Linked DNA regions of Canis lupus familiaris. The protein of the gene in region 7 binds, or shares a complex with, the protein of the main gene of each other region. Links are inferred from orthologs where the notes say so. Each region holds a gene or a part of one and is shown on either strand. Other genes may lie near its edges. The genes, in order: ING5, EPC1, KAT6A, MORF4L2, ING3, VPS72 and MEAF6.

Region 1 (4,858 bases), on a different chromosome or scaffold from region 7:
GCGCAGCGGTTTGGCGCCTGCCTTTGGCCCAGGGTGTGATCCTGGAGACCCGGGATCGAATCCCACATCGGGCTCCCGGTGCATGGAGCCTGCTTCTCCCTCTGCCTGTGTCTCTGCCCCCTCTCTCTCTCTCTCTCTCTCTCTGTGACTATCATAAATAAATAAAAAAATAAATAAAAATTAAAAAAAAAAATAGGATGTTTAGAAACCGAGAGCTAAATACCAGGAGGTCGCAAAGTGCTCTCTGTTTAAACTATCTGTATGTAGTTCCAAACCAGAAAACCTTTTAAAAGGAAGGGAAAGGGGGATCCCTAGGTGGCTCAGCAGTTTAGCGCCTGCCTTTGGCCCAGGGCGCGATCCTGGAGTCCCGGGATCGAGTCCCGCATCAGGCTCCTTGCATGGAGCCTGCTTCTCCCTCCTCCTGTGTCTCTGCCTCTCTCTATGTCTATCATAAACAAATAAATAACTCTTTAAAAGTAAATAAATAAATAAAAATAAAAGGAAGAGAAAGTAATGAGGAACGGATGATGGTCGTAAAGATGCTACAGGGAGATGTGCTAAAACCTAAGAAATGAAGTCTAATTTTAAAGTGTCAGCACTCCCCATTAGACGCTACACAATGCCCAATGCCGAAGGCCAGGCTCCAGCCCCACTGCCCTGGAAGACCAGGGCCACCCCCAATATCCTGGTGCCAACTCTCCCCAGCTGTCAGAGCCTACCAGGGGCTGCGCTACAAGGCCTGCACCTACCTTCTGTCCTCTGGTCCAGCTCTCGCATAAGCTGGAAGTTCCTCTGAAGTTCACACGGAAGGTTCTCAATGCCTGAAACAAAGAGACGTGTACTTGTCAGTAGCGGGACAAAAGCCGCCTTGCAGACTTTACATATAAAGTCAACAAATAATAATCTGACTTCATTTTCTGTTTCTGCTAGGATTCAGGGAACAGAAGGATTAACGTATATTTTGTGGATGATGAGTACGATACTGGTGAGACCGACAGGCTTGAGGGGCTGTCAGAGCTGGAAACGTGAGAGGACTTACCCGAGAGCTGCAAGCAGAAGCAGGGAAGGTGACCCATGTGACTCTTCCACCCCACACTCCCAGCCAGTCCTCCCCTCTCGATACCCCAGCAAAATCCTGGGGTCTGTTGGGTCTTTGCCCCGCTTGAGCCTGACACCCGCTGCATGGGGTGGCACAGGCAGTGCCGTGTGGCAGACTCCATGCCTGGTCGGACATGGTCTCTCTAAGCTACGCAACACAGTGGGCGGTGGCCACGCAGCAGCTGGGCACTGCAGTGGGGCTGCTCTGCTCCAGGCACTGAACTTCTCATTTGCTCAAGGTTAATTAATTTCCAGTGAAACAGACCAGGCTGGACCGCACCCTGGAGGACCTCTCCCTGCCCTGTTTTGCCCACTGCACTGCCCTTCTCCTGCTCCAGGCCAACCTCCCAGCCCGCCTGCGTAGCCTTGATGGGCGCGACCTGGGCTCCTGTGCGCGGGGCCAACCCCCTCTACTGTCCCCAGTTGCCATCAATCATTATAGAGCAAAATCTAGTTTTCCAAGGCTACCGCTTAAAGGTGCCCAGCTCACCGGGAGAACGGCACAAAGTCCCTCCACGAGGCGCCTCCAGGCTGGGCGCAGACCTCCCTGTTCTGTCCTACCCTGGGCTCTGTGGGACAGTGCCACCTCGGCTCTCTCACAACCTGCTGGGCTCCTTCATGGAGCTTAATCTGCTGTGATTAAAAAAATCAGTTTGCCTCCTTTGAAAGTTAAGTTCCAGGAAAATGAGGCTCGAGGCTACTTTCACGGCACACAGCAGGCGCTCAAAGATCAAGCCGCACCTCCAGTCTGAGCCTCGGCACAGGTGCCCCGTGCAGGATGGAATCACCTGGGGGGCAGGTACCGACAGGGCCGGGCAAGCCCCAGTGCTCCCCGCAGACAGCTCAGCGCAGCGCTTCTGTCGCGGTGACACGGGCGCGTCCCCTCCGGGCTCGGGTTGGGCTGGGCGACCACCCTGGGGGCAGGGGCTCCCTCCCTGTCCTGTCCGCGGCTGCAGGAGCGGGTCCCGAGCGGCCGGTACCGATGACCGACGGCCCTGTCTGTACTCCACGTCCTCCCCGAGCAGTACAGCGCTGCAGCGCACCCGGCCCGCCCCACCCCGGGGCCGACCCCAGCCAGGGCCGGGCCGGCAGGGACCAGGGGCGTGACCCGACGGGCTCCTTGGCCGCTGCGGCCTGCACCGCCCTCGCGAGGCCAGGGAGGAACCCATCCGCGCAGGAGCTGTCCGGCGGCTCCAGGCCGAGCTGCACGACTGCGGCGGGCGCAGGACGCCCGCAGGGACCCCCAGGTCCGCCCGCGCTGAGCCTCCCCGCCCGGTGACACCCGGCCCAGCCCCGCAAGCGCCCTCCCCACGCCGCGCGGCACAGGCGCACCCCGGGGGCTTCCGCGCACCACGGTCGCCCCCAAGTCCCCGGGCCGGAGTCCCCGACCCCGACCCCGACCCCGAGCCCCCAGGCCCGGCCCCGCGTCCGAGGGGGGCGGGGCTCGACCACCTGCCCCGGACCGCGCCGCGGGGGCGGGGCCGGGCCAGCGGAGGAGGCCGGGAAGGGCGGGGCGGGGCCGGGAGCCGGGCGGGGCCGGGACGGCGGAGGGCGGAGAGGGCGGGGCGGCCGCTGCGGCCGGGGGCGGGGCCTGGGCCGGGGCGGGGGCGGGGCCTGGTCACGCGAGCCCCGCCCCGCGCCCGCCGGCCCCGCCCCTCCGTGACGCACCTGGAATTGGCGCGGCCGTGACGGTGGGACCCCGCGCCGCGCCCCCCGCGCGCACCTCCTCGCGGCCCCGCCCCGCCCGCGCGCGCCCCCGCCGCCCTCGCCGCCGCCGGCCCGCCCCTGCCCCCCCGCGCGCCCTCGGGGTCCGCGCGCGGCGCCTGGTGCCCGCGGGGCGCGGCTGGCGGGGGGGCTCGGGGCGCGGGCGCCGGGCCCGAGGGCCGCGAGGGGCGCTTACTGTCCAGGTAGTGCTCCAAGTACATGGCGGTCGCCATCTTCGTCCGCGGCCGCGCTCCGGGTCTGCGCGGGCGGGCGGCGCCGCGAGGGGCGGAGGCGGGGCCGGCGCGCTCACTATTAATGAAGCTCGGGCGCTGATTGGCCCTCTGGCGGGGCGGGCCGCCGTCGGGACCCGCCCCCGGACTTCCGGCCGCCGGGCTGCGCGCGATGTCGCGCGGGCGCGGGGCGCGGGGCCTGCGGGTCGGCGGGGCGCCCTCGGCCCCTCGCCGCGCGGCCTCCGGCCCTGCCCGCGGGCCCCGGAGCCCCGCCCCGCCCCGCCCCGCTCCCCCGGCAGCTGCTCCGGCGGCGAGCGCGGTCCCGGGCGGCCGGCGGGCGGCGCACGTGCGGGCGCAGGTGCAGGTGCCGGCGCAGGTGCAGGCGGCCCGGGGCGCGGGGCCGGGGCCTCCCGGGCGCCTCCCCCGCCCGGCGCGCCCCGGCCGTGCCGTCGCCGCTTCCTCGGTGCAGACGCGTGTGTAGACGGGGAGCCCGTTCGTGAGCTCCCCCAAGCCCGCCAAATACCAACACATGGAGACCCCGCTTTGCCGACATTGCGGTCCCTGAAAACCCCAGTCTCCTTGGGAGCCGGCGATGCCCGACCCCGGACCCAGGCCCGTCGACTCGGCGTCCGCCCGGGTCCCGGGGCTCGGGCAGGTGCACAGGTGCCCACGGCGCGCCCCGCCCTCGGCCCAAGCCTGCTGTTTTCCTTGGCTCCATAGACTTTAGAAATAGAGCAGTTCCAGGTTCACAGGGAAATCGAGAAACGGGGATCCGAATACCCCAGACACGCGCGCGGGCCCATGACAAGCACGTGCACTGTGGCACGTTCATTATAACTGATGCGGTAACACGGATACATTATTATCACATGAGCCCCATAGATCGGGTCGGGGCCCCCTGTGCGCCCCCTGGGCCCCACCAGCGTCTGACCACCCGGATCGCCCTACAGGATCGCCCTACAGCCAACGGGACTGTCGCCGCGCCCCGCCTTCCCCGCAGCCCCGCAAGCGCTCCCCTCTCTCTGCGCTTTTCCCTTTTCCTGCATCTCGTGGAGTTGGGGGCGCACAGTGTGCAGACTTCAGGTTGGCTTCCACGGAGTAAAAGGCATTAGGTCTCCTCCACGCTCTTCTGTGGCTTCACGGCTCGTCTCTTCTTAATGCTGCGTAACACTTGATGGTCTGGATGGGCCACGGTTTACCCGTTCACCTACGGAGGGACACCTTGGTTGTCTCCAAGTTTGGGCGATTACGAGTAAAGCTACTATAATCACTGTTGTGCAGGTTTTTGTGTGCAAATTCCTTTGGTTGAATACGAAGAAGCGTAAGACTGTCTAGGTTTGTGGGAAACCACCAAACTGTCTTCCAAAGTGGCCCCATCCCCTTTCATCACCACCAGCGAAGAATAAGAGTTCCCATTGCTCACGTCCTCACTAACATTTGCTGCCAGTGTCCCTGATTTTGACCGTTCTGTTCTGATAGGTGTGGAGAGATGGCTCATCATTCTATTTGCAGTTCCCTAATGAGCATCTTCTCACACGTGTACTTGTCATCTATTATCTTCTTTGGTGAGCTGTCCATAACGTTTGCCCATGTCTTATATTTTTTAAAAAAAAGGTGTATTTACTTTAGAGACAGAGTTGGGGGGGGTGGGCAGAGGGGATGCAGACTCCCCACTGAGCATGGAGAGAGGCAAGATGCAGGGCCAGATCCTGTGACCCTGAGATCACAACCTGAGTTGAAACCAAGAGTCAGATGCTAAACCAACGGAGCCACCCGGGCACCCCATAACTTTTGCTCATTTTTTAAATTGGGCTTTTGGTTATCTC
Region 2 (4,217 bases), on a different chromosome or scaffold from region 7:
AGCACCTGACCAACCAGGTTACTAATCTGGCCACACTACTATGCGAAATGGCCAAGACTGGGAAGCAAGCAAAAAAATTCTGAGCACCAGGAACTACAAAAGTTGGTGTGTTAAAGCTCATGCCCTTTATTAAAAATAATGGGCTCCTGATATCCTCATTTAGAATTTCCTGTTTGAAATAGGATCTTTATAGGTGACTTTTTAGAAAAAGGAAAATCAGTCCAGAGGGCATCACTAGGCCACAGCATACATATAAATATTAATATTTAAAATAATGACAGATTAATAAAAAACTGCTAAATCAAAATACTTGGCTTAAGCAGCAAACAAGAAAGTATATATCAACTGACTTCTATCTCATATATAGTGGTTAAGTTCTAAAGTCAGTATAGTAAAAATTAAGCCTTGAAAATTCCTTTAAAGTCTACCACAATGGATGTGTCTCTTTCAATAAGCCCAGCACAGACAGTTTTTCCTCTGGCTTATGGTTCTGTGGTTGAGTACCAGATGAAATAGTTGGGCTTATATTTGGGGGCCATCTATATGAAAAAATTTATCTTTAAAATTACAATTACACAGACAAAGGTGAGAAGATTAACCTCTGAATGAAGCGGCAAAGGAGGCATGGATATTCCGAGTAACAACAGATTCACTTCTGCCATTCCCAGAGTGGTCCACTCTGGAGAATAGGTTCTTTTGGTTGAATTGTATTTAGAATCCTGTATAACTTTTGAACTGTTAAAATTTTATTTTTTCTTCAGGGGCCTATAGTTGAATTTGCTTGAGTGTAACATACACATGATAGGACTCTACTAAATAGGAAAGAATAAAGCATGACCCAACAGCAATCTGTAGGCATCTATTCTCTAAGCATACAAAAAAATCTAGTAAAAATTAAGGGAAAATTGAAACAATTATGTGCAACAAAAAAATAAATTCATTTTTAAAAAGTTGTATCACATTATATGGGGGAGGAAATGATTCAAAAGAAAATTATACAGTCATTAAAAATTGTTTTTCAGCTAAACTTTTGGTAACACTACTGGTTCAATGTTCACTTTTTAACGTTCTTTGGAAAACACAAATCAAGTAAGTTTCATAAAATCAATGCTTACTTATGCAGTATAGCAAAATAATTTACATTTAAAATGATCATTAAAAGATACTAGGGTAGTTATACAATTCGACTTCTCTATTATTATTATCTTTTTTTTTTTTTTAAGATTTTATTTGTTTAAGTAATCTCTACACCCACTGTGGGGCTTGAATTCACAACTCATGAGATCAAGAGTCTCATTGCTTTCACTGATTAAGCCAGCCTGGCACCCCTCAACTTCTCTACTTTAAAGGGTGAGAAGGTGGGGATTGATGGAGCATGCCAGTTTTCTATAAGAAGTCTCAAGGAATTTATACAGCTTAAATATCTATCAGGGAAAACACGTTACAAGTTTACACCTTTAAAAGCTCTATACTTGCATACTATATAGTCCTCCTCCATATTGAAAAGTTCTTTATTTTGATTTTTAAGACTATAATAGCTGAGAGAAATGGACTCTGAAATTAATGGGACCATACTAATCCATTAGACTTCAGAATAATTTATATTATCTTCTAGTTGATTTTGGAAATGTGATTATTTTTCTTATGAGTAAAGACTTCCATTTCATACAAGTACTTGTTTTCCAGACACAAAATAAATTAGTTTATGGGACCTTTTCTAGAGATCTTTAAGAATAAGCAGTACATTTTCGTATTTATTAGAAAGGTTTAACTGTAGCCTTACCAGGTAATTAGGGCAACATAAATACCTTTATAGTCCCTTCAAAATCTGTGTTTAAATGATCTTTACAAAAATCTATGGTAACATAATTCTAACAGTGAATTTCTATAATCTACATGCCTCAAATAACACAGATTTATGCTTTAAAACAGAAAGCTGGGGAATATAAAAAATAGTGAAAGGGAATAAAGGGGAAAGGAGAAAAAATAAGTGGGAAATATCAGAAAGGGAGACAGAACATGAAAGACTCCTAACTCTGGGAAACAAACTAGGGGTGGTGGAAGGGGAGGTGGGGGTGAATGGATGACGGGCACTGAGGGGGGCACTTGACGGGATGAGCACTGGGTGTTATTCTATATGTTGACAAATTGAATACCAATAAAAAAATAAATTTATAAAAAAAATACAACAAACAAACAAAAAAAACAGAAAGCTAAAATTTTAGGAATATTTAAAGACAGGATGTATTTTAGACACATTTCACAATGTAGCCATAATGCTAAAGTAGATGTTATCTGGAATTGCCTCCAACATTTTAACAGTCCTATAAAATTTTAAAAATCCTTTAATTTAAATATTGTTCCCTCTTATAAATTATTCTGCATTACTGTCAGTAGATAAGACTTGTGCATATCTACAGACTTGCCAGACTACTTTTGAACAGTTTAAATAAAACACAAGAGAAGTGTCCAAGCATAAAATGGTTACAATTAATGGCCCATTTTCTTTTCATATTCTTTGATAATTGCTGAATTGTAAATTGTGGGTTCACAGAGCATATCCAGGAAATAAATGTCATACATTAAGTAGCAGTAAATCACCTTTGTGTGTGGGTGTGTTTAAATGAAAACACATGTACAAACAATTCAAATAAATACTTAACCTAGGTCCGTTTTCCTCATTATTTGAGAGAAAGGACTTTTAGCTTTAAATAAACCACATATTCAAAATATGGATGAACCTGACATTTCTATAGAAATGTACATCATAACAAATAAACATACCAAAATGTGCTGAACCACTGCTACTTTTACTTTGCGTGGAGGTACTGCATGTCTGGGTCCCAGGTTGTGCTGTTCCTGTTCGATTTATACTCCTATACAATTTTCTACAGGAGAGTTCATCATTGTCACTGTCATGTAGGGTTGGTGTCCGAGGCCTAAAATGCCGCCATCTACATGATTTGATATTGACTAGTATCTGACTGAGGTCTTTAGAGAAAGATTTGTCCGAGGTATTTGTTTCTGAGGTATTGGCAAACTGATTGACTGGAGAATGTTGTGGAGAGGAAAGCATTTCCAAATCCAGATGACGAAACATACTGTCATAGTCTGAGTGAGCTCTGTCCAGTAAGACCCTGTTAAAAATAAGGCAGGGAACATATATGTAAAACAGCTATTCAAAAATTATATAAAAAAAGATCCTCCCAGTTCCCCCAAAGCCATCTCATACTAAACATTTAAAAGCTAGAAATTTGATTATTTCAGTATTTGACCCTCTAAGCTAAATTCTCAATTTGTTTTTAAATTCTCAATTTCTGATAAAAGTTTTTACTTTATAATGATCTGATTAAAGAAGAAAGCAATCCACCTTGAGGAATTCATTTTACATCAGCAAGAGCTTTCTAACAGTTCCATGAGCTGATCTACCAGTATGTTACTGATATAAAACCTGGACTTATTTTTCTTTCCAAACTGCTTTTCAATCAGAGATTTTTCTTTCCGTTACAAAGCACCAAAACACTTTATAAAAGATCAGTTCTCTATTAAGCAAAAACTTCCTTCTTTTTTTTGGGGGGGGGGGGCAGGGGTGGAGGAGGTAGGAGAAAGCAGTAAATGGTATGCTATCTTTGGGATATTTTATAGCATTAAAATTTCTTATCGACAAAATATTTGAGATCTACTACTGTAGAAGATATATTTTTATGTTATTTATATAAACTTTATAAGTAATTCCATCTTAAAATACTAACAGCGACTAATGTTAGTATAGTATAAAATATAAATGACATGGAATTTTGGCTACTATTGATATCAATGTAATGACTGGGGGGAAAGCACTAAATAAAATAAATAATTTCAGTGTCCAGACAATTCTAAAGTAATTAAAAACTGCAATTAAGACTTGAAAATGAAAGAAACATACGTATAAAGCATTCATTAAAAACTACATCCTGGGATGCCTGAGTGGCTTAGCAGTTGAGTGTCTGCCTTTGGCTCAGGACATGATCCCGGGATCTATGTGGGATCGAGTCCCACACTGGGCTCCTTTTGGGGAGACTGCTTTTTCCTTTGCCTGTGTCTCTGCCTCTTTCTCTCTCTCTCTCATGAATAAGTAAATAAAATCTTTAAGAAACAAACAAAAAAAACCCTCTACATCCTCAGGTTTCTTCCTGAAAGCACCTTGATACTATGTTCTGCCTTTTTTCCCCTACCTA
Region 3 (4,217 bases), on a different chromosome or scaffold from region 7:
CCATTTCTTTTTTATGTACTAACACAGAATGATGTCAAGGGCTGCCACCTTGTTGGCTACTTTTCTAAAGTAAGTATATTCAGTTTAAAATTTGTTTGAATTCACATGGAAATCTAAAACAATCTTTGTCACTTCCCCTGAGGAGAAACTACACTATCAGCACCTTCTAAGTACTATCTGGCTTTTTGGAAAGGAAAATAGAAGGAACATTCAGAATCATATCAAGTGCTAGAAGGTGCCTAATAACATTCAACAGACTCTACTCTCCTAGGAACATGAGCTGCCATTTATACTCTAGAGGAAAAGGTTTTAAATCACTTCTATTCCCAGGGTAATAATAGCCAGAACTTGTGAAATAAACAGTCATTACCTCTGTGAGCTGTTTCTCAGTTTAAATCTTCTCTTCCTAGTTTAAATTTGAAGAATTTAAATAAGAATAAGAAGCCATTTTAATTCAAGGATATTTTTCTCTCCTAATAATCTTCCATTCTCTTGGGGAGAACAAAAGGTGTTTTTTTGTAGTCAAACCACATAAAAGATGTACTTATACTTAAGTTAGCCTATGATAAAATCTAAGTGTATGAAACAGGTAAGTGGAAAGTACCAGCTTTCTGTTAGTTGGCTATTTCAGAAGTTAAATGTAATTTTATAGATACTGCCTGATTTTTAAAGGAACTGTACCCAACATTTTCAGATTATTTTTTGTGAAGTTAGGTACAACCAGTGGAGAGATGGGACTGCCCTGTGTATCACCAGAGCAGGAAATAAGAGAATCTTTGAAATGGTTGATGAATTTTCCCATTTCTGGAGTACCACACTGACTCATCATTTGTAGCTTTGCAGATTGATTGGGACTCAGATTCCTCTGTTCATCTTAGGCAATGACATACTGTTTTGGAGTTGCAGATGGTGTTAGATGGCATAATTTTATTTTATATTTTTATTCTCCTGGGATGGTTGCTTTGTGGGTAATGGCAATGACTTAACATTGTCCTAGCTCCTCCCAGTGGGGTATTTTTTTCTTGATGAGCTTGCTATTCTCAAAGGACCAGGGCTGTGGTTTTGACTGTTAGTCTTTGTTTCTTGATAATTAGCATTACTATTCAGTCTTATCCACATGTTGTTTTACAATTTTCTTTACCAGGAAAAGCACTGCCAACAGAAGTACAACGTTTCCTGTATAATGATTCTTCCCCAATACCAGCGTAAGGGCTATGGCAGGTTTCTCATCGATTTCAGTAAGGATTATATAATACAGTTTTTCATTATCTCTTCTTGTGGACCTTCTGTGATATCTGTATTTTTAGAGATTTACAGATGATTTATTGGTTGCTAGTATCTTTTGTCATACTGCAGTGTGGGACTTTAAAACCTAAAGTCATGAATTTTTTTTTTTCTTTTGATTGGACATGAAATATTTTAAAATAGCTTATACTGAATACTCACTTTTGTGTGACCTATTGCAAATACTTTTAATTATAAACTCTGAATTTACAGTGGAACTTAGTTTTATGATAATTCTGACAGTAATACTCAATACATTATATAACTACTTAAGTTAGTACAGTAGAGAAATACAGCGCTCGCCTTATTTTTTGTTACCCAATTACCTGAGAAAATGCGTACATCATTTTTTAGTTACGGGCTCTACCTAGTGGTTAAAATATGCAGTGCACCTTTAAAAAAACCCTAAAAGTAAATGGTGTAGGAAATAATTCAATCTGACTTAAAAATTAAAAGCTAACAGCTCTAAAAAAGTCAATGTAGATTTTGAATCTTGTTTTACATGTTGATAGTCTTGCTTAGAAAGTAAATATATGTTTACAATAAATTTTATATTGATTATAGAATAGCAAGTTTTGAGGAATATTTTTATATAGGCAGTCCTAAATATCAGATGATTATATCACCAGTGTTAAGGAGTTAATTCTCAGATGGACCAGTGCAGCTTATTCTAGTTGGCCTTAGACTGTACTCCTGAATATTTTATTGGAAATATGTGCCATTGATGATGATTTTGTACATTTTCTTGGCCTTTTTAGATTGGTAGTAGAGAGTGCAACTCAGATTGTTTCCTTTAATATCAATATATTGTTCTGAAATAGGACTCATGTTTGGATGTTATGCCATTAAATAGGAAAGTTAAGGGAAAATATTTTATTATACTAATTAGTTATACTTTTGAGATACACAAACAACAGTCTATGATTACAGTTTTTTTTTTCATTTGCTTTTCGTAACGTAATCTATTTTCCCATGTTACACTATTTACAGACTGCTTTTAGTAAAGCGTCCTTTGATAACAAAAAAACTGCATTTCTTCTGCCATCTCCATTGTCAGTGCTTTCTCTTAGTATTTATGCCTTTCTCTTCCTGTTCTTGAGAGTCCTGCTCTAAACAGGAGGACAAATCCCACCATACACTCACGGGGACATCCTCACGCTGACATCCTTGCTTACTAAGAATTAAGGTGAGGTAATTGTTAGGAGAGCTTTGGCTGAAGTGAGAAATGGTCATCTGATTCACTCGCAGAAGAACCACAATCTTAACAGATAGGATTACATAAAAATGAAGGCATTCTTTTGTATTGTTCAACAATTCAGGTGTAGCTGTTGCCATCTGGTGGTCCAAATAAAACATGCAAGGGAGGTTCCCCCCATAAAATAAAAAGGATTATTGCCTTAATCTTGTTAATGCAGCCTGTTAATATGAAGTCCTATGATTTTTTAACAATTTGAATGTTTTAACGTGATTTATAGTAAGTATAGATAGAGTAATAATAACCTAATGTTCAGTATGTACAAATTACGTCATCTTGTGGAAATATGTGTTGGAGTAATTTTTCAATTTTGTTCTTTTTCTTGAAGGAATATATCTTTGACATTATTATTGCCTATTTTGCTTAGATTGATTGTGAAGAGGGGATTGCTATTTTGGTGAATTAGCCTATTTTAGGCTCTCTGACATATTTGTGATTCGGGGGTTTCTTTAGGTTATTTGTTATCAAAGCGTGAAGGCCAAGCAGGGTCTCCAGAGAAACCATTATCCGATCTAGGTCGTCTTTCCTACATGGCTTATTGGAAAAGTGTAATATTGGAGTGCCTTTATCACCAAAATGACAAGCAAATCAGCATTAAGAAGTTAAGCAAGTTGACTGGAATCTGCCCTCAAGACATTACTTCCACACTCCACCACCTAAGAATGCTGGACTTCCGTAGTGACCAGTGAGTATCATACCCCTTGGCACACTCTCAAAAGATAATTATGTGGAAGTGTTTGGATCAGGCAGCCATATTATCAATAAAAAGGCATAAACTAATATAAGTGGTACATTTAGTGATCCTGAGAGACCATTTTTATTTCTGTGATATTTGATACTATTGACCATATTTTCTTTTTAACTGTTTTTTTCTAGTCTTCCTTCTAACTTTTGGACCTATGCTATTGAATCTTTTATTTTCTAATGTTGGGAGCTCCTTCACAATACAGGAAGTAAATAAAAACTCTAGAAATAACGTCTAATAGAATATACCCATGATTTTTTTCCATGTAAGTGATACAAAATAAAATATAGGACAGGGGAAGTTTAATTCCCCCTTATCTAGAGAGTATGGGAAAAGATCACAGAGAAAGGAAGGAGGCATTGGACTAGAAAGCTGGACAATAGAGATAGAGTACGAGAGAGTAGCAGAAATTCCAGAGATTGGAAGTGTGAGACAGTGAATGGTTCAAATGACTTCATCCATTGCTCTTGTTGACTGTGAAGTATCTGTCCAATTCCGTATTTCTTAGCTATCTCGTATAGTGACATATTTCTATATTTTATCCTCCCAAGCAGGCCATTTTTGAAGCATTTGTCATCATCTCCAGGGTTCTGTGGGGGTTATAGCTCCATATTCATTGTCAGGCACTCCTTGTACACACACCATTGATTGCTGTAAACTTTGCTTTGGTTCCAGATTTGTGATAATCCGCCGGGAAAAACTTATCCAGGATCACATGGCAAAGCTTCAGCTGAATTTGCGACCTGTGGATGTAGATCCAGAATGCTTGCGCTGGACTCCTGTCATTGTCTCCAATTCTGTTGTCTCGGAGGAGGAAGAGGAGGAGGCTGAGGAAGGAGAAAACGAAGAGCCGCAGTGCCAGGAAAGAGAATTAGAGACAAGTGTAAGGGCATGAGTAGTCTCTATTTTTGATGACGGAAGGCTCTATTTTTG
Region 4 (4,107 bases), on a different chromosome or scaffold from region 7:
ATACTTTGATGTGGCAGCCCTAGCAAACTAATACACACCATGACTTTACTCCTCTGTTGACAACTTGGGAAAAAATTCTCTATTAAACTTCTCAAATCATCGATTTGAATAAAATTTATTTCCTGCTGGGACCCTGACTGATCTAGGAGGATCATACAGGACTCATTTCCAGATTTGTTCTTACTGTATTTTCTAAAATCTCTCCAGTAACCATGATAATTTATGTTTTTACTATAGAAGTAAAAAAACACTGTCATGAAACAAAACTTGGTTTGGTAAATTTCCTTATAGAATGGATTTATAATCATAGACATCCATCAACCCTCCTCCACAAATCCCCTACTCTAGATTCCCACTATTATGTCTAAGGGATTATAAAAACAGAACATGAACTCAATGTTGGAACTAGGGAAAGCGGCCATCCTTGGTCCAAAATCTGTTAAGTATTTCTGAAGGTGGCTGCCCATATTTTCTTTTGTGGTCAAGAGCAAAGCTCTGCGTAAGTGTAAGGAACTATTATAGTATCCACTAAATATTCTGTTATGCCAGCCCAATTCACAGGGGCAAGGAGTTCTTATAAGCAGCACTAGAAAGCAGTCACTCTGAGAAGCCACAATGAGGGAAGAGGAGGGGAACTGGCAATGACAGCATACTCCTGGCTGCCACACCCAACAGAAAAAGGAATTCTTTTACTGGGAGTCAGAACTCTCTGATACCACCTAGATCTTTCCCGAGCCCGCGGACTAGTCAGCCTCAATAATATTAAAGGCATGCTGCAAAATACTTGCTTTGAAATTTAGAAACAAATTTTATTTAAGATCTGAAATACAATTCCTAAAATATCAACTTCTCCAGAAAACCGTGGCTACACAATAATGCATTGCCTCTATCATGTTAGAACGTGCATTAGACTCAAATACAAAAACCATGAAACAAATCACCATCCTTCAACAATTTGAGCAAAGATAGAATGCCTAAGGAACAACATAGATGGACTTGCAGAGGATGGGCTGTTTTACTTCAAGCACCATAAAAAAAAGAGCACAAATGCATGGGTTTTCAGGTATATACATTAAGTTGAACCTTTGGCACTAGGAATCAGGGCATTTTGTCACATAGCATTAACACATATTAGAAAATTGTGTAGTGTCAAAGGGATAGAACCACCAGCATTCAAGCAATGTTGTCAACTAGGCAATAAAATGTTCTACTGAATGTTTCTTCTTCGTCTAATTACTGCGTACACTGGTAGCAACTTTGAAATGAGAAAAGGAGCTTGTACTCCTTTCATTTTCTGTTTAAAAACACAACAGAAAACAAACTGAAACATAAGCCCTGTTATACATTAACAATTTTAAAGAACATCAATTATACAAGAAAAAGACTAAGAACGAAAAGAGTGTTTACAGATACCAGACATAACAGTGAGTGGTCAGTAGACCCTCACAGGGCTTTGCGGTGGTACTCAGCCGAAGCCACTTTGTAATCACTGGCAGTAAACAGAGATGTAGCATTCTTTGCCAGATATTTTAGGAAATCATGCAAATAGCCCAACAATAATGCAAGGCTCTTCTCATCAAGGGGCGTATACGCCAACATTGCTCCAATTCTTACAAATAATCTCAGTAGGTGTGGGGCTCCATAAACCTGGGACATTGGTGCATCAGGGTGAGCCAAGAGAATTTCAGCATACTGGGGCCTCTCAAATTTGTAGAGCAGCTGAGTGCCCAACATCACATTGAAATATTCTTTTATTCCTGCCACAACTTCATTAACTGCATACTCCTTATTATCAACATTTCCCTGCGACTTCTTACAATTTGCATACTCTTCCAGAATAGCATCTACATTTTTCTTAGCAGGGAGTTGAAACAGCTGCTTCTGCCTGGTAACTAAGTCCCAGTCCTCAACAAGCCATGGTTTTAATTCTTCAGGAATCTTCACTTTAACTTCCATTCTATTCTTAAATGCCTCCTCACTTTCAACAGTGGGGTCTGCCCGGGCCCTTTTCTTCCGAGGTGGCTGGGGTGCTTCACTGGTACTGCCACCATCACCGTTTCCAGGTGTCTTCTGTTTGTTCTTTCTGGTCTTCCTCACTGATCCTGAAGGGGGGTTCTCTGCAGAGCGACCCCCCCATCTGCCTGGGAGAGCTGGTTCCAGATTCTTCTGCTGTGGACCAGCAGTCTTCTTTCCTGAGGAGGCCCCTCTCATCTTACTTCTCTGCATATTACTTCTAGTTGGTTTTTTGAAGTTGTCTTCTTCTGCAGATTGTTGTCCACGAGTTTGAGAACCCTGCTTTCTGGAACTCATTCAACCCTGTTTTTATTCCAACCACTGTAATATATAAAATATTTTACTTCGTTGTTTTCTATCGTGACCTTTAACACATATTACTTCATAAAGGCCTACCACAGTAAAACACAAGCTATTTTCTTGGAATTTAGATTTCAAATCCTAGTTCAGGATCATTTGTAAGTGACTGACTTACTACTTCCACCCTCTTTTTGATTTTCACTACCAACCACTACTCACCCCATCCAATCGCTCATCAGACTTGCCCATAAGTTAGTTTTTTGGTGCCACTCCAAAGACAGAAATATAATTTTAGAAAAAAAATAAATTAAATGGAAAAGAAACTACAAAAGGCAGTGGAATTGAAATTAAAACTGTCTGAACAGGATAAATGACAAGATAAAAGAACAAAGAAAGATTAGTTGACTGGAGGCAAAATGAGTAGCAGTAAATGTTTTTGTAGGAGTCCAAGTAATCCTGAACTAGGGTGATGACAGAGTCAAGGGAAACTGAATACAGAAATTGGTAAATGAAGAAGAGGGAGCAGTCAAAGGTGGCTTTGTACAAATGCATCTATTCAATTAGTTATCATACATTATTGCCTATCTGCTTTGGGACAGATACTATGCTAGGTCCTAGGGTTTAAATCTAAGGTGACAATTAAAAAAACGAGGTTAGGGATCCCTGGGTGGCGCAGCGGTTTGGCGCCTGCCCTTGGCCCAGGGCGCGATCCTGGAGACCCGGGATCGAATCCCACATCGGGCTCCCTGCATGGAGCCTGCTTCTCCCTCTGCCTGTGTCTCTGCCTCTCTCTCTCTCTCTGTGTGACTATCATGAATAAATAAATAAAATCTTAAAAAAAAAAAAAAAAACGAGGTTAGTACAATGACGGTTATAGGCACAGAGTATTTTGGAGCAAACAAGAAATGGTACATGACACCACTGTCAGTATTAGCTTGTTGGAGAAGGTGATAAATCAGAGAGAAGTCAGTGATGACTCCAGGTTTTGAGAATGGGTGATTAGGTCATTAGTACTATCACCAAATAAGACTGCATCTAGAGGAGGAGGAAGTGGATTAGAGAGGAAAGAACTTCAGTACTGGATCTACTACGTGTGAGATGTAAAGTTAGATATTTAACTTTAAAGCTCAGGTGAAGGTCAGAGCCTGAAATGGAGATCTGAGGGTAATCATCACACAGCTACTACTGGAAGCTAGGAAAGCCATCAAAGTCATTCATGGACAGAAGAGGAAGAAAAACTGAACCAAAGTATGAAATTCTGGAAAAACCTAAAAGAATGGTATTTAAGGGATTAGCAGAGACCAAAAACAACACAAAAATGGTCAGAGCAGCCATAGAAGAATTAGGAGAATGTTATTTTGGAAGCCAAATAAGTCAAAAGAGTTTTAAGAAAGGAAAGGGATAATGTACAGTATAAAATGCAGCAGAGGGAACTAGTAAGATAAAGATGAAAAATAGGGGGCTATGATTCTTATAGTGTGACACAGGAAGCAATTTTTTTGACTTACATAATCCTCTTCCTTCTTTCCCTTCCAAGTACTCCTAGTGTTTTCCCAGATGGAACCTCCCAAATCTCCTGGGATGGTCTGGAAGGATGAGGTGGAAGACACAACCTAGAAAGGAAAACAGGTATCTGCAATGAAGATAAACTTTAATTCAGAAAAAAATTTTTAAAAATCTAATTTTTTGACCATGTGGTTTGCAACTGTAATATCAGAGAAAATATGTAAGTTCCACTGTTAGACCTACTTCATTTAGGCTCTGCCTTTTAAAAGTTGTGAGGACTTGGGCAAA
Region 5 (4,217 bases), on a different chromosome or scaffold from region 7:
TATCAGTTTTATTTGCTCAGCATCCAGAAGTTATGGGAGAATAATTCCTAAATGAGTGGTATGAAATGAAATGACATTAAACGTAAATTAACGTTAAACATGAAGTTAAACTAACCTGATACACAGGTTTAAAAGCACAGTTATTGAGAGCAACAAAGAGCAACATTTTTCATAACAGTTTATTTTTGTTTTCTAGAGAATAAAGATATCATAAAAATTTCTTTCAAACTATGTTTTTGTAATAATTTTTTAAATCTGTTACGACTTAATGCTGACTTAAATTACAGGTAATACTTGTAAGAATTAGTGTTCGCTACGGCTATCTTCCAGACATTCTTTGTATTTTTAAGCAAATTGAATGCTCTTCATCAAAATCTAAAACACAAATACACAAAAGCAGTTGATGAAAATGATCATGATCATCAACTGAGATGTGAATACTTACCTGTGTTAAGACAGGAAAGAGTGTGCAAATTCGCAAGGAATTTAGCAATATTTACATGCTAATTAAATTTTAAAATAGGAAAATTTATTATCAGCATTTGTAATAAATTTGGGTCATTAAGATGAATTACTTTTTGAGGTACCTAGCACTTTTGTGGTAATTCTACATTGATCATTCCTGGGATTTACTCACAGGAAATATAGTACATTTAAAAATACATTATGATGCAATTATTAGATAACAGCTCTTCTTCTGGTTTACCATTTGAACTTTCATTATGTCTGAATATCTAGCAAATGCAGATACTGGGGATAGATGGTACTAAACCCTGTTAAGGTTTTGTGTTTAAGACAGACAACCATCCTAAGAGTCTTATATACAAAAATATAGGGATATTTTCATACTTTCAATTTGGGGGGCATAAGACCAAGAATTAATACAATTTCCTTTTAATAAAAATGAAGAATTTTGTTTAAAAAAAATTCCCAGGATAAAATTTGTATCTTATGCATTAATTTACATTGGGACACGTGACAAAATAAGGGGCCATAAAGGAAAAAGTTTCCATAAAATGGCTTATCCTAATGAACAGAAGAAAGTAAACAGGAGTCATTTATACCTAATTTAAGACTCTAGAAAGATTAAAGACTTTTAACACCTTTTAGAGACTTTCCTCCTCCCGCAAGTATGACAGTGTGTCTTCCTGCCTCCCCCACGTGATCCTGATCCATTACATCCTACCTTTGTCGCACATGGCCAAGCCCAGCTGGATGCCAAGCCGACTGCATACTTAGTAAGGGCACAGGGCCACTGTAACAGGGAAACCTACTTGCTCTTTCTCCCGCTCCGGGAGTCGGCTGCTGACGAGCTGGCGTTCTGTGTTAATGTAGTCATGAGTGCCGAAGATGATGAATAGCCAGCTGTTTCTCTGGGCATTGAAAATTCTTTTCCCAGCTGAAAGTCATTATTCTTAAATGCTTCATAACTGGCTTTTAGACTTGATGTTCTTCGTCCCTCTTTCATCTTAAACAGACGTTCATTGATAATATTAATACACATATATATGCAGATTTTCTTTTTCAGTCCTACTAGTTGCAGTATTATGTCAGTTTATCCAATATTCTTTTGCTTGAACCATTATTTTCATCACTGTCATTTGAACTATTTTATGTAAAGATTTAAAATCAGTTTTTACACAGTTAGGAGGGAACTAGAGAATTGGTGACTTAATTTGGAATATAAACTATACAGAAGCGAACAAGTGTAATGCAGTCAGTTCAGGGCTGCGACACAGAATGGAGTACTGTCCTAGCAGGTGCTATGGCTTCTTGTCAAAAACATGCACATCATGAGCAATCACTGTATGAAGGGATCTGCATGACATTGCACGAATCCATTTTTTTTACTTTTCATTATCAGGTAAATTGATGCACATCCATTTCATTAAATAAAACATCAGGCATCATAAAACCACGGTTTAAAAATGAAACTATACAATAATGTAAGAAAACTCTGTTCACACCTCGTTGTTTCTATTAAAGTTTGCCAATGATTCAGACAAAATGTACCTGCTATTTCCAAACCTCTTCCTTTTTACCTGAGCTGTGGCTTGAACTGCTTGAGCTGCAGCCATGGTAATTGCCCCTGCACCAGTTCCTGAAGATAATGAGCCAATATTATAGGATGCCAGAGGTTGGGAGGAATTCACATTGTAAGCATTGTTGGAAGAAGTTGTAGAATTATTATTTCGACACCCTATGTAGAATTAAAGAAGAAATAAAAATGGTTGGAGAGAATATAATGTTAGGGAGCTTAAAATACATTATTTCCCAGTACAGATATAATCATTAAATTTAACATTTTCATGTCACTATAAAATTTTCATGCGCCATTTTTCCTTTTTCTTCTTTCCCCAAATGTGGACTTTAAACCAAGTAAAAAATCAGTATGATTTGTTAATCCTGAATGCTTTCATTTCTCCTTATTTTAACATATACAAACATCAAAAATTCATGTTTAAGATAATAAACTTACCTAGCGTATTTTCCTTAGAGGCATCTGATGTAAGCGTAGATAGAAGAGCTTCAGATTTAAACTTCTTTTCAGGAATATGATCTGTCGTTGTATGGTGAGAAGTCGGATTATATTTCCTTTCTGAATATAAATAAAGAAATTTTGTGTTTTAAAATTTTAGAGAACTGTGGACAAAACATAATACTTCCATTCAGTTACAAGCAGGTACAGTTATGTCCTGAGTTCTTTATGGAATACAGAACAATATGTTTTCTTGGAAGACAGGAGAAGCAGAACTCTCTGTGGCACCTGGTTTTTTAAGAGTAGCCTTCTCACACATTAAAAATAACTTCAGCAGCAAAGTACTGCGAATAACTCACAAGGCACCATGGTTTCACATATAGCATGATAGGAATTTTGTTTTCAAAACACTATCTACAATTTTGAATAGTTCTCTCAACCATTCTTTCATATCAGATTGATCTGTCACAAGATGCGCTGATACAGTCTTCTAACTAGCTAAGATCCAACCAACCATTCATTTACTCACTAACTCACCAACATTGGGGCCTTCTTATATGCCAAGCAGCACACTAGGCACTGAAGAAGCAAGGATGGCAAAAAACCAAAGAGCCTACCATCACGTAGCTTATCGTTTGACTTGAATTATAACACTCTCTAGAGAGAATCAGGTGTCTGTAATGTAGGAAGTATATGCTGCTATTAATACCATATATTTATCCTCAATGTATCCCAGGAAAAGCAAACTCTCTACTCCCAAATCAAATATGCTTTTCTCAAATGACAGCAATAAGTCTATCAGGAACTGTAAGGAAAAATAAAAATAAAAATAAAAATAAAAAATAAAAATAAAAATAAAAATAATAAAAAAATAAATAAAATAAAATAAAATAAAATAAAATAAAATAAAATAAAATAAAATAAAATAAAATAAAATAAGGGAGAGATATTTTTTTCTCAATTGGTTGTATGGAGCCAATTAAAAAAGAATATACAGGTAATATAATGAATTTTTAATTATACTGAAAATTGTAGCTGCCCAAAACCAAACTTACTTTCCACTGGAGTATGTGAATGAGCATGGTGATTGTTCACTGGCTGTGAAGGAGTATCTAGTTCCAAAGATCCTAAGAATGAAAGGCACAGAGATACATGTCAACATAGAACTTTAAAGGTCCCATCAACTACAGGCACTCTGTACCCTCACCTACCAGAGGACTGGGAGCCCTGATGCACATACCTGTATCATTTTAGTCAGAGAACCACCACTGCCAACTTTATCCTGAGGCAATTTCATCCTCTCTCTAAACAGTATGTAATCCACTTCTTAATATTCACCTTACGTACAAAAAAGCTCAAGGCATGCTAATGTCTAATTGGGGAATTCAGGACAGCAGGTACCGCATAAGTGGATGAATGGATACTATAACTCCATTTCCGATAAGATCTAAAAACTCAAACTAGTTATACTGGGCTGAAGACCTTTCTACGGGAGATCCTAAAGTATTAGGTGATGGGACATTACCATATGAGATAAAATTCTTTGATTGTTAAAAGGACATATGATAGTAAAGACTTCCTAAAAGAAGTTAGGCACAGAATCTCTACCGCCAAGCATTAAAAGACTTTTAATGAAATTTTCTGGGTTTATCTTGATCCCTTGAGATGAAATTATGGCAGGGCACAGGGTGGAGCAGATTTTATAACTTGATTTCATTTAGTGTGTCTGTGTCCTTAC
Region 6 (4,702 bases), on a different chromosome or scaffold from region 7:
ACTTTTAATTTGCAGGCCAATGATTCTCAATTCTCTCCCTCTCCTTACTTGTCCCATTATTGATAATCTTTGTTGAGGTAAACTTACTGAGACATAGGTCTCATTCCTCAGGTGTGTTGCAACAGAAAAATAACTGAGTTCTTGTAATATGTATAATGGAGAGCCAATGAAGATTTAGGGAGGAAGGAAAACTATATACCAGGGCTGTTTCAGAAAGCTCTGGAAGTTGTTAGCTGAGTGGAGTAGAGAACGTGGAGTACACCCTAGAATTGAGGGGTTACAGGTTAGGACTAGAATGGCAGCCACATAGGAAAGTAAAGGGAAAAACACACTTAAGGGCGAGGGAGTCAAAAACTGGGCAGGGTGGCACCTCAAACATGTGGCTCTCTCTTCAGTCAGGGATGTAGACCAACAGGCTAATCCTGGTACACATGCTGCCAAAGCAAGCAAACAGCACAGACAGCTGACATGCCAAGCTAGCCAGAGTTCAAACTTGCACCGATGGCCATCATTTCCTCCCAACTGATGCTTGTGAAAGACTGCCTGGGAACACATTAATCCCCTCAGCTCTAACCAGGTATTAAGTCATCGCACCAGAGAGTAGTCATTGAACTGCACATTAGCTTAGTGTCCGTCCAATCAAGATGCTTTCACTAAGTTAGGGATTTACTACCATACCTTTGGCTTTTATCAAGGGTCATTAATAGGCATGACTAGGTAAGTGAATGTTTCTACATCATCTAGTGAACCCATTACTTTATAATTTTATGTAGAAGTGCACTTCTTCCTAGGACTTAATGCTGAATAAATTTTTCTCTCTTAAAGAATGTATATGCCTCTTTCTTACTGAAAAAAGAAATTCAGGGCTTGGCTGCCAGGAAGCTCACAGCTAAATTTATTATTTATTTATTTATTAAAATATTTTATTTATTTATTCATGAGAGACAGAGAGAGAGAGAGAGAGAGAGAGAGAGAGAGAGAGGCAGAGACACAGGCAGAGGGAGAAACAGGCTCCATACAAGGATCCTGATGTGGGACTCGATCCCGGGACTTTGGGATCACGCCCTGAGCCAAAGGCAGATGCTTAACCACTGAACCACCCAGGCGCCCCGCTAAATTTAATATAAATTGCTATTACTATTTTAGCAGAGGTTCCTGGTACAATTACTTCTGATCTGTCTCTATTTTTACAGTTCCTACTTTTTGTTTATATTGTAAGCCTCCTTTAATCCTTTTTGGAAGCATGAAGGGTACATATTAAATAACGACTCGTAAAATGACAGGAATAGGAAAATGGCCTTTGGGGGAGGGATGAGAACATTCTATTTTAAACTATAGTTGGTCTACTGTGTAAGTAATGACTCCCAATCAAGTCCTGTGGATTCAAGTCCTATGGATTCAATGTCCTTAATTTGTCTTGAAACTATTGCCCATGTTTCTCTACTCCCACTGCCTCCTTCAAACCATTCTCCTCATTACAGAGTGAGCTTTCTAAAATACAAATCTGATCATGGTACTTTGATGAATCTTCTCAGTCGTCTAGAAAAAGAGCAAAACCCCTCAACATGGTTCATAAGGCCCAACATGATTTGGCCTATGTCCACTCCCTCCAACCTTATCAATTTTATTCTCCTTCAAGGTTTGGAGAAAGGAGAGTAGGCCTGCATGTACCACACAGACTCAGTACCTTTACACATTCTGCATCCCCCCCACCCCTCCACACACACACCGTTTCTCCTTATCCTGCTCCCAGCCCTACTGCTGTTCACTGAGTCAAGGCCTACTTTTCATACTGTAGTAAGCTTAAACATCATGTCCTCCAGGGAGGCCAATCCTAACCAATAACTCTGGCTCCCGTATATTACCACAGCACCCTAGCTTACCATTTTTTTCCCCTCCTTATCACAAAGTATTTCAGCTGTTAATCCAGCTGGTTCCCCCCACTGGGGTCTGGAATACGAGTAACAAAGTGGTGTTTTCAATACTTTACGCTTCCCTAGAACTTACCACAGTGGTTGGCTTGCCCTAGCTCTTCAACAGATATTTTTTTAAATTTTTTATTTATTTATGATAGTCACAGAGAGAGAGGGGCAGAGACACAGGCAGAGGGAGAAGCAGGCTCCATGCACCGGGAGCCCGATGTGGGATTCGATCCCGGGTCTCCAGGATCGCGCCCTGGGCCAAAGGCAGGCGCCAAACCGCTGCGCCACCCAGGGATCCCTTCAACAGATATTTTAAGAATGGACAGATTCAATCAGCACCAGTGCCGGTCCAATCCAGAGAATGGACCAGGCACTGGACGTATACTGCTGGACAAAACAGACCATCTCTAACCTGACAGAGCTTACAATCTAATAGAAAAGTATAAACAAGTAGGCAAACCAAATCTAATTGCAATTCGAAATATATTATATGAAGGAAATAAATGGACCACTTTTTAGAGCAGTTAGGGAAGGATTAACTAAGGAGACATTGACGTTGAGATTTGAAAGGTGAAAAAAGTAGGCTGAGCTCCTGTATTTTGTGAAGAGATCCTTTTCTACCTTCAGGTGGATAACCAAGCAGTAGGCCAGAGTCCATACTGCGTGACTACGAGGAGCTCGAGTACGTTAGACGTCAGAAGTGAAACACGCAACCCGAGAAGTATACGCTTGGTTTCTTCCATGGTCTGGGGTGCCTCGGAGAGCCCCTCATCCCTGAGCCCTCCAACCCCATCCAGGACTCTCCCACCCGCTCTCGAATATCACTCCCAGGGCTGATTCTATCCATTCCCCGCCCCCTTCTTTGTCCGACGTTTCTCCGTTCAGGACTCCTAGTAGCTTCCTCCCCTCCCTCTTCCTGGGCCCGACTCTTGCCTCTGTGAAACCCCCGTAAGTCGTCTGGTAGAACTCATCTTCCTCCTCGGCTTCCAGGAGCCCAGAAAGCCGGTTCCCCGCGGTCTTCCGGGGGGCCCGGCCACCGGCCAAACTCATACTGCCTACCGAGACTGCGCCGCCACCAGCGGCCCCTCACCCAGCGCGGTATCGGCGCTCGACACAACTACCTGCGGCGGCGGGCGGCGGCGGAAGCCCTTCGTCCACAGGCAGAAGTAGGAGAGCGTCGAGACGCTTCTAGGCCCGTCTGTCAAGCCTTCTTCTTCTTCTTTTGTTTTTTAAGATTTTATTTATTTATTCATAGAGACCGAGAGAGAGAGAGGCAGAGACACAGGCAGAGGAGAAGCAGGCATCATACAGAGAGAGCCCGATGTGGGACTCGATTCAGGGTCTCCAGGATCACGCCCTGGGCTGCAGGCGGCGCTAAACCGCTTCTTTACCCTGCAGCCCCGCCCACGGGGGGGGGGGGGGAGCGGCGTGGAGACGACCCCCAAGCTCCCTCCCCTAGCTCGCGCTGATCTGGACTGCAGAATGATTACCGGGTGACGCCAGCAGCCCCACTACCCTAAGTCCAGAATTTGAGAGTCAACAAATGTTCACTTAGAAGAGGTCAGTCTCCCTCTGCTCCAGTCCGTTTTCCACTCTGCTTTTAGTGATGAACCTTTCTTAAAAAACAGACTTTGTCAGTCTTCTGCTCAAAGATCTTTAATGGGGATCCCTGGGTGGCGCAGCAGGTTAGCGCCTGCCTTTGGCCCAGGGTGCGATCTTGGAGACCTGGGATCGAATCCCACATCGGGCTCCCGTTGCATGGAGCCTGCTTCTCCCTCTGCCTGTGTCTCTGCCTCTCTCTCTCTCTCTCTATCATTAATAAATAAAAATTAAAAAAAAAGATGTTTAATGGCTCCCTGGCATCTACAGGTTAAAGTACAGGATTCTTGGGGACAGAACAGTAGTGTGGTTAATATTAGATTTATAACCAACCAGACCTGAGTTTTGAGTTTAGGGTCTTCTAGCTGTGTGACTTTGGACAGTTGGTGGAATCTCAGTTTTCTCACCTGTAGAGTGGGACGAGGGGTGCCCGGCTGCTCAGTGGGTATAGCATGTGACTCTTGATACCAGGGTCGTGAGTTCCTTGGACATGGAGTCTACTTAAAAAAAAAAAAAAAAAGAGGTGGGAGTAATAACATCTACCTTTTACAGTTGTTGAAAAGATTAAAAGATTAGGAGATCTAATCCTTTTAAACTTCTTCAGCAGGATTTAGTAAGCACATAGATGGTTAGTAGGTGATAATTACTATTAACATTGACATTAAAGATCCTGCATAATTTGGCCTCTCCCTGCCTTTCTAGTTTCACCTCTTGCCTCATCATCCCATTCTAGCATCACTTCCCAATCCTCTGTCGTGCCTGTGTGCTTTTCCTTCTCCTTAGGATTCTTTTCCTATCTTATATACCTGGCAGAATCCTGGTTATATTGGACAGTGATGTCTTCCCACTCGCCCACCTCGCTTCCTAGCAGTTTCCATAATCATGGAGATCATGCCTCCTCAATTCTCCAGAATAGTTCCAATCTCAAATAGTCTGTGGAATTGTTAAGACCCTGTGTCGACTTCTTTTCCATCTTTTATCCTGAAAATATGATTGTCAAACCATAGCACTCGTACCTACGCTATGGTGGCAGCTATTACATTTTATTCTAATGATTGATGTATCTACCTCATTAGCCTGAGATCTTTTTGAGGGCAGGGACTTCATCTTCATCTTTATCTTCATCACCAGGAACTCTCATACGCCTAGGACATACTTGGGGCTAAATAATGCCAGTTGAA
Region 7 (3,885 bases):
CTTTTGATTCCTGCAGCTCCTGAGGATTTTTCTGGGGTAATCTGTTCCCCATAACAGTTGGAATATTCTGGAGCTTTCAGCTTTGTAAAAGGCATGACTTTTGCCTCTGGTGTTGCTTTCCAGGGTGGAGCTGCAAATGCCATTAAGAATTCCCCTTGTAGGGGATCCCTGGCTGGCTCAGTCGGTAGAGCATGCGACCCGATGTCAGAGTCCTGAGTTCAAGCTCCACGCTGGGCATAGAGCTCATATTAAAAAAAAACAACAGTAAACAAAAATTCCCATTTTTGCCTTAGCGCTCTCCATATAATTCTCTTTAGAGTCTCGTTTTGGGACCCTGTTGATGATGCTTGTCTCCAGGCGCTTCTGTGAGGCCAGTGCTGCAGGCCCTGGGGGCCCAGCCGCCTCCTGCTGCATAGACGGTCGTACCAGGAGGCGCCAGCAGGTGGCAGGCAAAGCCCCACAAGCGCCACGGCCTCCCGGGGCTCAGATTTGGGGGGGGTGTTGGGGTCATCTTATCCTTTTCCTCCACCTGGTTTTGCGGCCGTTTCGTGAGCGGGTGGCCAGTTTAAGACGGCCAGCAGCTGCCGTGAGATGGGCTTCGAAAGGCCGCATCCCAGCCTGACAGCCTGGGGCCTCCTCCCCATCCAGGAACTAGCTGGAAGGATTTACATACCGTGGCCTGGGATGGCTTGAGTTTCCTTAATTGCAGGGCTCTGCTTCCTGCCTCTTTGAGCCAGATCTCCCACACCCTTCCCATGAACCGGGAGGTCCCCAGAACCGGCTCTTACTCACCGCCCTCGACTCCACCCACCGAGCTACGGTCCTGGGGAAGAAACTGAGCCAGAGGTTTGAGAAGCCCTGGAGCAAAAGTGCTAGGATCCCGGGACTGCCTTATTTGGGGGGCAGGAGCCTCTGGGGACCAGCTGGGCTGAGGGCTTGAGGTGCTGGCTCCATGCCCCCCGCCCCCCAGGTCCTAGATGTTTCCTCCCCAGTTTCTCTGCTGGAGACCCCTCCAGCCCCTCCTTCCGGGCAGGGGTCCTGCCCTTCTGTGTTCGGGAAGAGATGGGGTGGGGAGGGGGGAAGGAAGCGGTCAGGGTGGCCTCTCCCCAGTCACTGCCCCGCACCAGCACCGGGGCTGGGGGTTGGGGGGGCTGGGAGAGCGACTCCCCTGGAGCCCCAGCGCCCTCCTGCTCCTGGTTGAAGTCCCCCAGATGGACCTTGAGGGCCCTCTGGGCTTCCCTCAGGCAGGGAGGTGGGGTGGGGACACCCAAGGGAGGGTTCCAAGTTTCATCCACTGGGGCCCAGTTGCTTCTCTGCCCAGGGAGGCCAAGGTTTCTGTAGTGACCCTGGCCCCTGGGGAGGTTAGCCCGCCTCTGGGTCAGGCCGTGCTGACCAGAGCCTGGGGGTGGGGGGGGGCTGGCGCTCCGGGAGCTCCCCAGGATCATTTCCCAGCAATGCAGGGATTTGCATACTCCCTGGTTTCCCCATCGGCCGCTCAGCCCTGGAGGCAGGAAGGCGGAGGAGGAAAGGGCAGCGGGGCAGCCCTGTGGGCTGGGTCCCCTCGGCACCGGAGCTTGGGGGTCTCTGCGGCCCTCCGGGCCCCAGGAGCCCGCATGAGACGTGCCGCCGCAGCCTGGGGCTCAGTCGGGGAGCCCGGGCCTGGAGGGGAGGGGGCTGCGCAGGCCGCATGGCCAGGCCTTGCCACCCCTCCACCCCGGCGGGCCCCAGCGAGCTGAGGGGTCTCCTGGTCGGCCTGGAGCTGCGCAGGGCCCCCCTGTGGCCCCCCTGTGGGCAGTGGGAGCACCCAGGCCCTGGGAGGGAAGGGGCTGCGGCGGGCGGGAGGCGGGATGGGGAGGCCCGGGCCTGGGGGCCAGGTGGCCCGTGGCTGCAGGTCCTGGGTGCGGTGGCGGCGCCGAGGGGCCCCTGCCTCCTGCCCGGACGCTCCTCACCCCACACCCCACATGCTGCGGCCCTCGGGGCTGGCCCCCGGCTGGTGGGGTGGCAGGGAGCACACGCTGCTTCCAGGCCGCTCCTGAGGCCTCGTGGCCTTCCCGTTCCACGCAGTGCGCCGGCGGGCCTGGCGGGTGCTGCTGGGGCGGCCCCTGCTGAGCAGGTGGCTGGGATGGCCCTGCCCCCCTCCCGGGGCAGTAGGGCTTCTGTGGGGGTGCCTCCCTCCCTCCCTCCCCCAGGGCCTGCGAGCCCTTGCAAAGCAAACCAGCAGCGTCTGGAGGCCTTGCTTCCTCAGCTGTGTGGAGCCAGAGACCCCCACCCCAGGGCCTCCTCCAGCCTGCCCTGTCCCTGGGACCTCCGGCCAGGCGCTCGGCCTTGCCTTGCCGGTGGCCTTCCCTGGCCGTGCCAGTGGCTGATAACGAACTGGACAGTCTGGTCTTTTAGCTTCCCGTCCCAAAAAAACAAAGATCCATAAATAGCCTTTTAATCTGGAATACAGTACCTGATTGGAAAAAAAAAAAATCTTACAAGGCAATGACATTTCTTCGTGCAGCTAAAACCTTCCGAAGTGGCTGGAAGCAATGGGCATGGGGTGCCCCGAAGAGCACGAGTGGGGGCTGCAAGAGAACCTTTGCTCAGAGCGGTCCCACCTTGCCCCTGGGTTCCCACTTCAAATGCAGGCTTCTACAGAACGGGGGCCTGGGTGGGGGCCTGGGTGGTGCAGTCGGCTGAGCGTCTGACTCTAGATTTCTGCTCTGGTCACGATCCCCAGGTCCTGGGATCAAGCCCCAGGTCAGGCTCCCTGCTCAGTGGGGATCTGCTTCTCCTTCTGCCCCTCTGCACCCCCCACACAACTTGCTCTTTCCCTCTCTCTAAATTAAAAAAAAAAAAAAAGAAAGAAAGAAAAGATGTTCAGGGTGAAGAACGCAGTGGGCGGGGGTGGGGGGCCAGCGCGCAGGGAGATGGCCAGTCTGGCGTTTTCTTCACCAGGCTGTGCAGCTGTTCTGTGGCAAAGCAGTTTCAAGAAAGAAAAGAAAAGAAAAGAAGAGAAAAGAGAAGAGAAAAGAGAAGAGAAGAAGAGAAGAGAAAAAATACAGATACTGTAAAAGCTTCACAATAAGTACAGATTAGGTGCGGTGTCCAAATATAGAATGATTAAAACTGTATTTTTTCAAAAAAAACTATTTTTTCCATTTTCTCCTGCTGATAGTGTTTGTTTTGGGATCATTTGATAATCCAGCTTTTCACTTAAAATATTTAACCTTTAGATCTTATTTATCTGGAAAAAAAAAATGTATATCTCTGCCTGGCTTCCTTCCTCCTAGGGGCCACTAAGAGGGTCAGGATGGTGAGGTGAGCACAGCCCGCAGCACTTACTATGTGCCAGGCACTGGGTCATGTGCTCAACACGCATGCTCCCCGCTTCACAGATGAGGAAACTGAGGCCCACCCAGAGAGGGGTAGTCACTTGCCCCGGTGACATAGCTGGTGGCAGGCCAGTTCCTGAGTTGGGGATCAGGACCCCCAACCTCCGAGGTGACGCTGGCATCACCTGCCTGGGAGGAAGGGGCTGGAGCCAAGCACCCAGCCCCCCCACACCCCCACCCCCCCTGTCTCCTCAGCTGTCCTGGAAGCGCTCTTCTCAGCCAGGTGGTTTTCTGTCCTCGGCTCTGGTCGCTGGAGAGAAAGGGGAACAGACCAATCCTGCCCCCAACCCCTGCCACCCCCTCCCCACACCATGGCCTCAGGACTTCAAGCCCTTACCTGCTTCAACTCCGGGACCTCCCCCACCAACCCCCCCACCCCCACCTGTGGGTCCCCCCCCTCCACTCCAGGCCCTGCCCCCAAGGGGCCGAGCACTTTGGGTGGGTGCACATCTGCGGACCCCCCCATTGCCCAAAGGCCCCGGCCACGCCCCAAGCACAACGCAGGGCT

The links.
Region 1: MEAF6 (region 7) and ING5 share a complex: the UniProt entries of both Homo sapiens proteins name them as parts of the HBO1 complex. The link is inferred for Canis lupus familiaris from reciprocal best matches to the Homo sapiens genes MEAF6 and ING5.
Region 2: MEAF6 (region 7) and EPC1 share a complex: the UniProt entries of both Homo sapiens proteins name them as parts of the nuA4 histone acetyltransferase complex. The link is inferred for Canis lupus familiaris from reciprocal best matches to the Homo sapiens genes MEAF6 and EPC1.
Region 3: MEAF6 (region 7) and KAT6A share a complex: the UniProt entries of both Homo sapiens proteins name them as parts of the MOZ/MORF complex. The link is inferred for Canis lupus familiaris from reciprocal best matches to the Homo sapiens genes MEAF6 and KAT6A.
Region 4: MEAF6 (region 7) and MORF4L2 share a complex: the UniProt entries of both Homo sapiens proteins name them as parts of the nuA4 histone acetyltransferase complex. The link is inferred for Canis lupus familiaris from reciprocal best matches to the Homo sapiens genes MEAF6 and MORF4L2.
Region 5: MEAF6 (region 7) and ING3 share a complex: the UniProt entries of both Homo sapiens proteins name them as parts of the nuA4 histone acetyltransferase complex. The link is inferred for Canis lupus familiaris from reciprocal best matches to the Homo sapiens genes MEAF6 and ING3.
Region 6: MEAF6 (region 7) and VPS72 share a complex: the UniProt entries of both Homo sapiens proteins name them as parts of the nuA4 histone acetyltransferase complex. The link is inferred for Canis lupus familiaris from reciprocal best matches to the Homo sapiens genes MEAF6 and VPS72.

Annotation. Positions count from the first base shown.
Region 1 is NC_049246.1:51,598,316-51,603,173, reverse strand, and holds the start of ING5 (inhibitor of growth protein 5), read right to left. Parts: upstream 3,115-4,858; 5' UTR 3,036-3,114; coding exon 2,999-3,035; intron 1,993-2,998; exon of another isoform or gene 1,589-1,992; intron 822-1,588; coding exon 750-821; intron 1-749. UniProt on the Homo sapiens protein: Component of the HBO1 complex, which specifically mediates acetylation of histone H3 at 'Lys-14' (H3K14ac) and, to a lower extent, acetylation of histone H4. Component of the MOZ/MORF complex which has a histone H3 acetyltransferase activity.
Region 2 is NC_049223.1:12,487,137-12,491,353, reverse strand, and holds part of EPC1 (enhancer of polycomb homolog 1), read right to left. Parts: intron 3,138-4,217; coding exon 2,785-3,137; intron 1-2,784. UniProt on the Homo sapiens protein: Component of the NuA4 histone acetyltransferase (HAT) complex, a multiprotein complex involved in transcriptional activation of select genes principally by acetylation of nucleosomal histones H4 and H2A.
Region 3 is NC_049237.1:24,432,508-24,436,724, forward strand, and holds part of KAT6A (histone acetyltransferase KAT6A), read left to right. Parts: coding exon 1-69; intron 70-1,144; coding exon 1,145-1,238; intron 1,239-2,992; coding exon 2,993-3,224; intron 3,225-3,959; coding exon 3,960-4,167; intron 4,168-4,217. UniProt on the Homo sapiens protein: Histone acetyltransferase that acetylates lysine residues in histone H3 and histone H4 (in vitro). Component of the MOZ/MORF complex which has a histone H3 acetyltransferase activity. May act as a transcriptional coactivator for RUNX1 and RUNX2.
Region 4 is NC_049260.1:77,634,094-77,638,200, forward strand, and holds the end of MORF4L2 (mortality factor 4-like protein 2), read right to left. Parts: intron 3,927-4,107; 5' UTR 3,822-3,926; intron 2,335-3,821; 5' UTR 2,311-2,334; coding exon 1,444-2,310; 3' UTR 792-1,443; downstream 1-791. UniProt on the Homo sapiens protein: Component of the NuA4 histone acetyltransferase complex which is involved in transcriptional activation of select genes principally by acetylation of nucleosomal histone H4 and H2A.
Region 5 is NC_049235.1:59,215,758-59,219,974, reverse strand, and holds part of ING3 (inhibitor of growth protein 3), read right to left. Parts: intron 3,607-4,217; coding exon 3,535-3,606; intron 2,600-3,534; coding exon 2,480-2,599; intron 2,201-2,479; coding exon 2,043-2,200; intron 1,469-2,042; coding exon 1,275-1,468; intron 1-1,274. UniProt on the Homo sapiens protein: Component of the NuA4 histone acetyltransferase (HAT) complex which is involved in transcriptional activation of select genes principally by acetylation of nucleosomal histones H4 and H2A.
Region 6 is NC_049238.1:60,907,201-60,911,902, forward strand, and holds the start of VPS72 (vacuolar protein sorting-associated protein 72 homolog), read right to left. Parts: upstream 3,046-4,702; 5' UTR 2,973-3,045; coding exon 2,856-2,972; intron 1-2,855. UniProt on the Homo sapiens protein: Deposition-and-exchange histone chaperone specific for H2AZ1, specifically chaperones H2AZ1 and deposits it into nucleosomes.
Region 7 is NC_049236.1:5,043,959-5,047,843, forward strand, and holds the end of MEAF6 (chromatin modification-related protein MEAF6), read left to right. Parts: intron 1-2,940; coding exon 2,941-3,070; 3' UTR 3,071-3,105; downstream 3,106-3,885.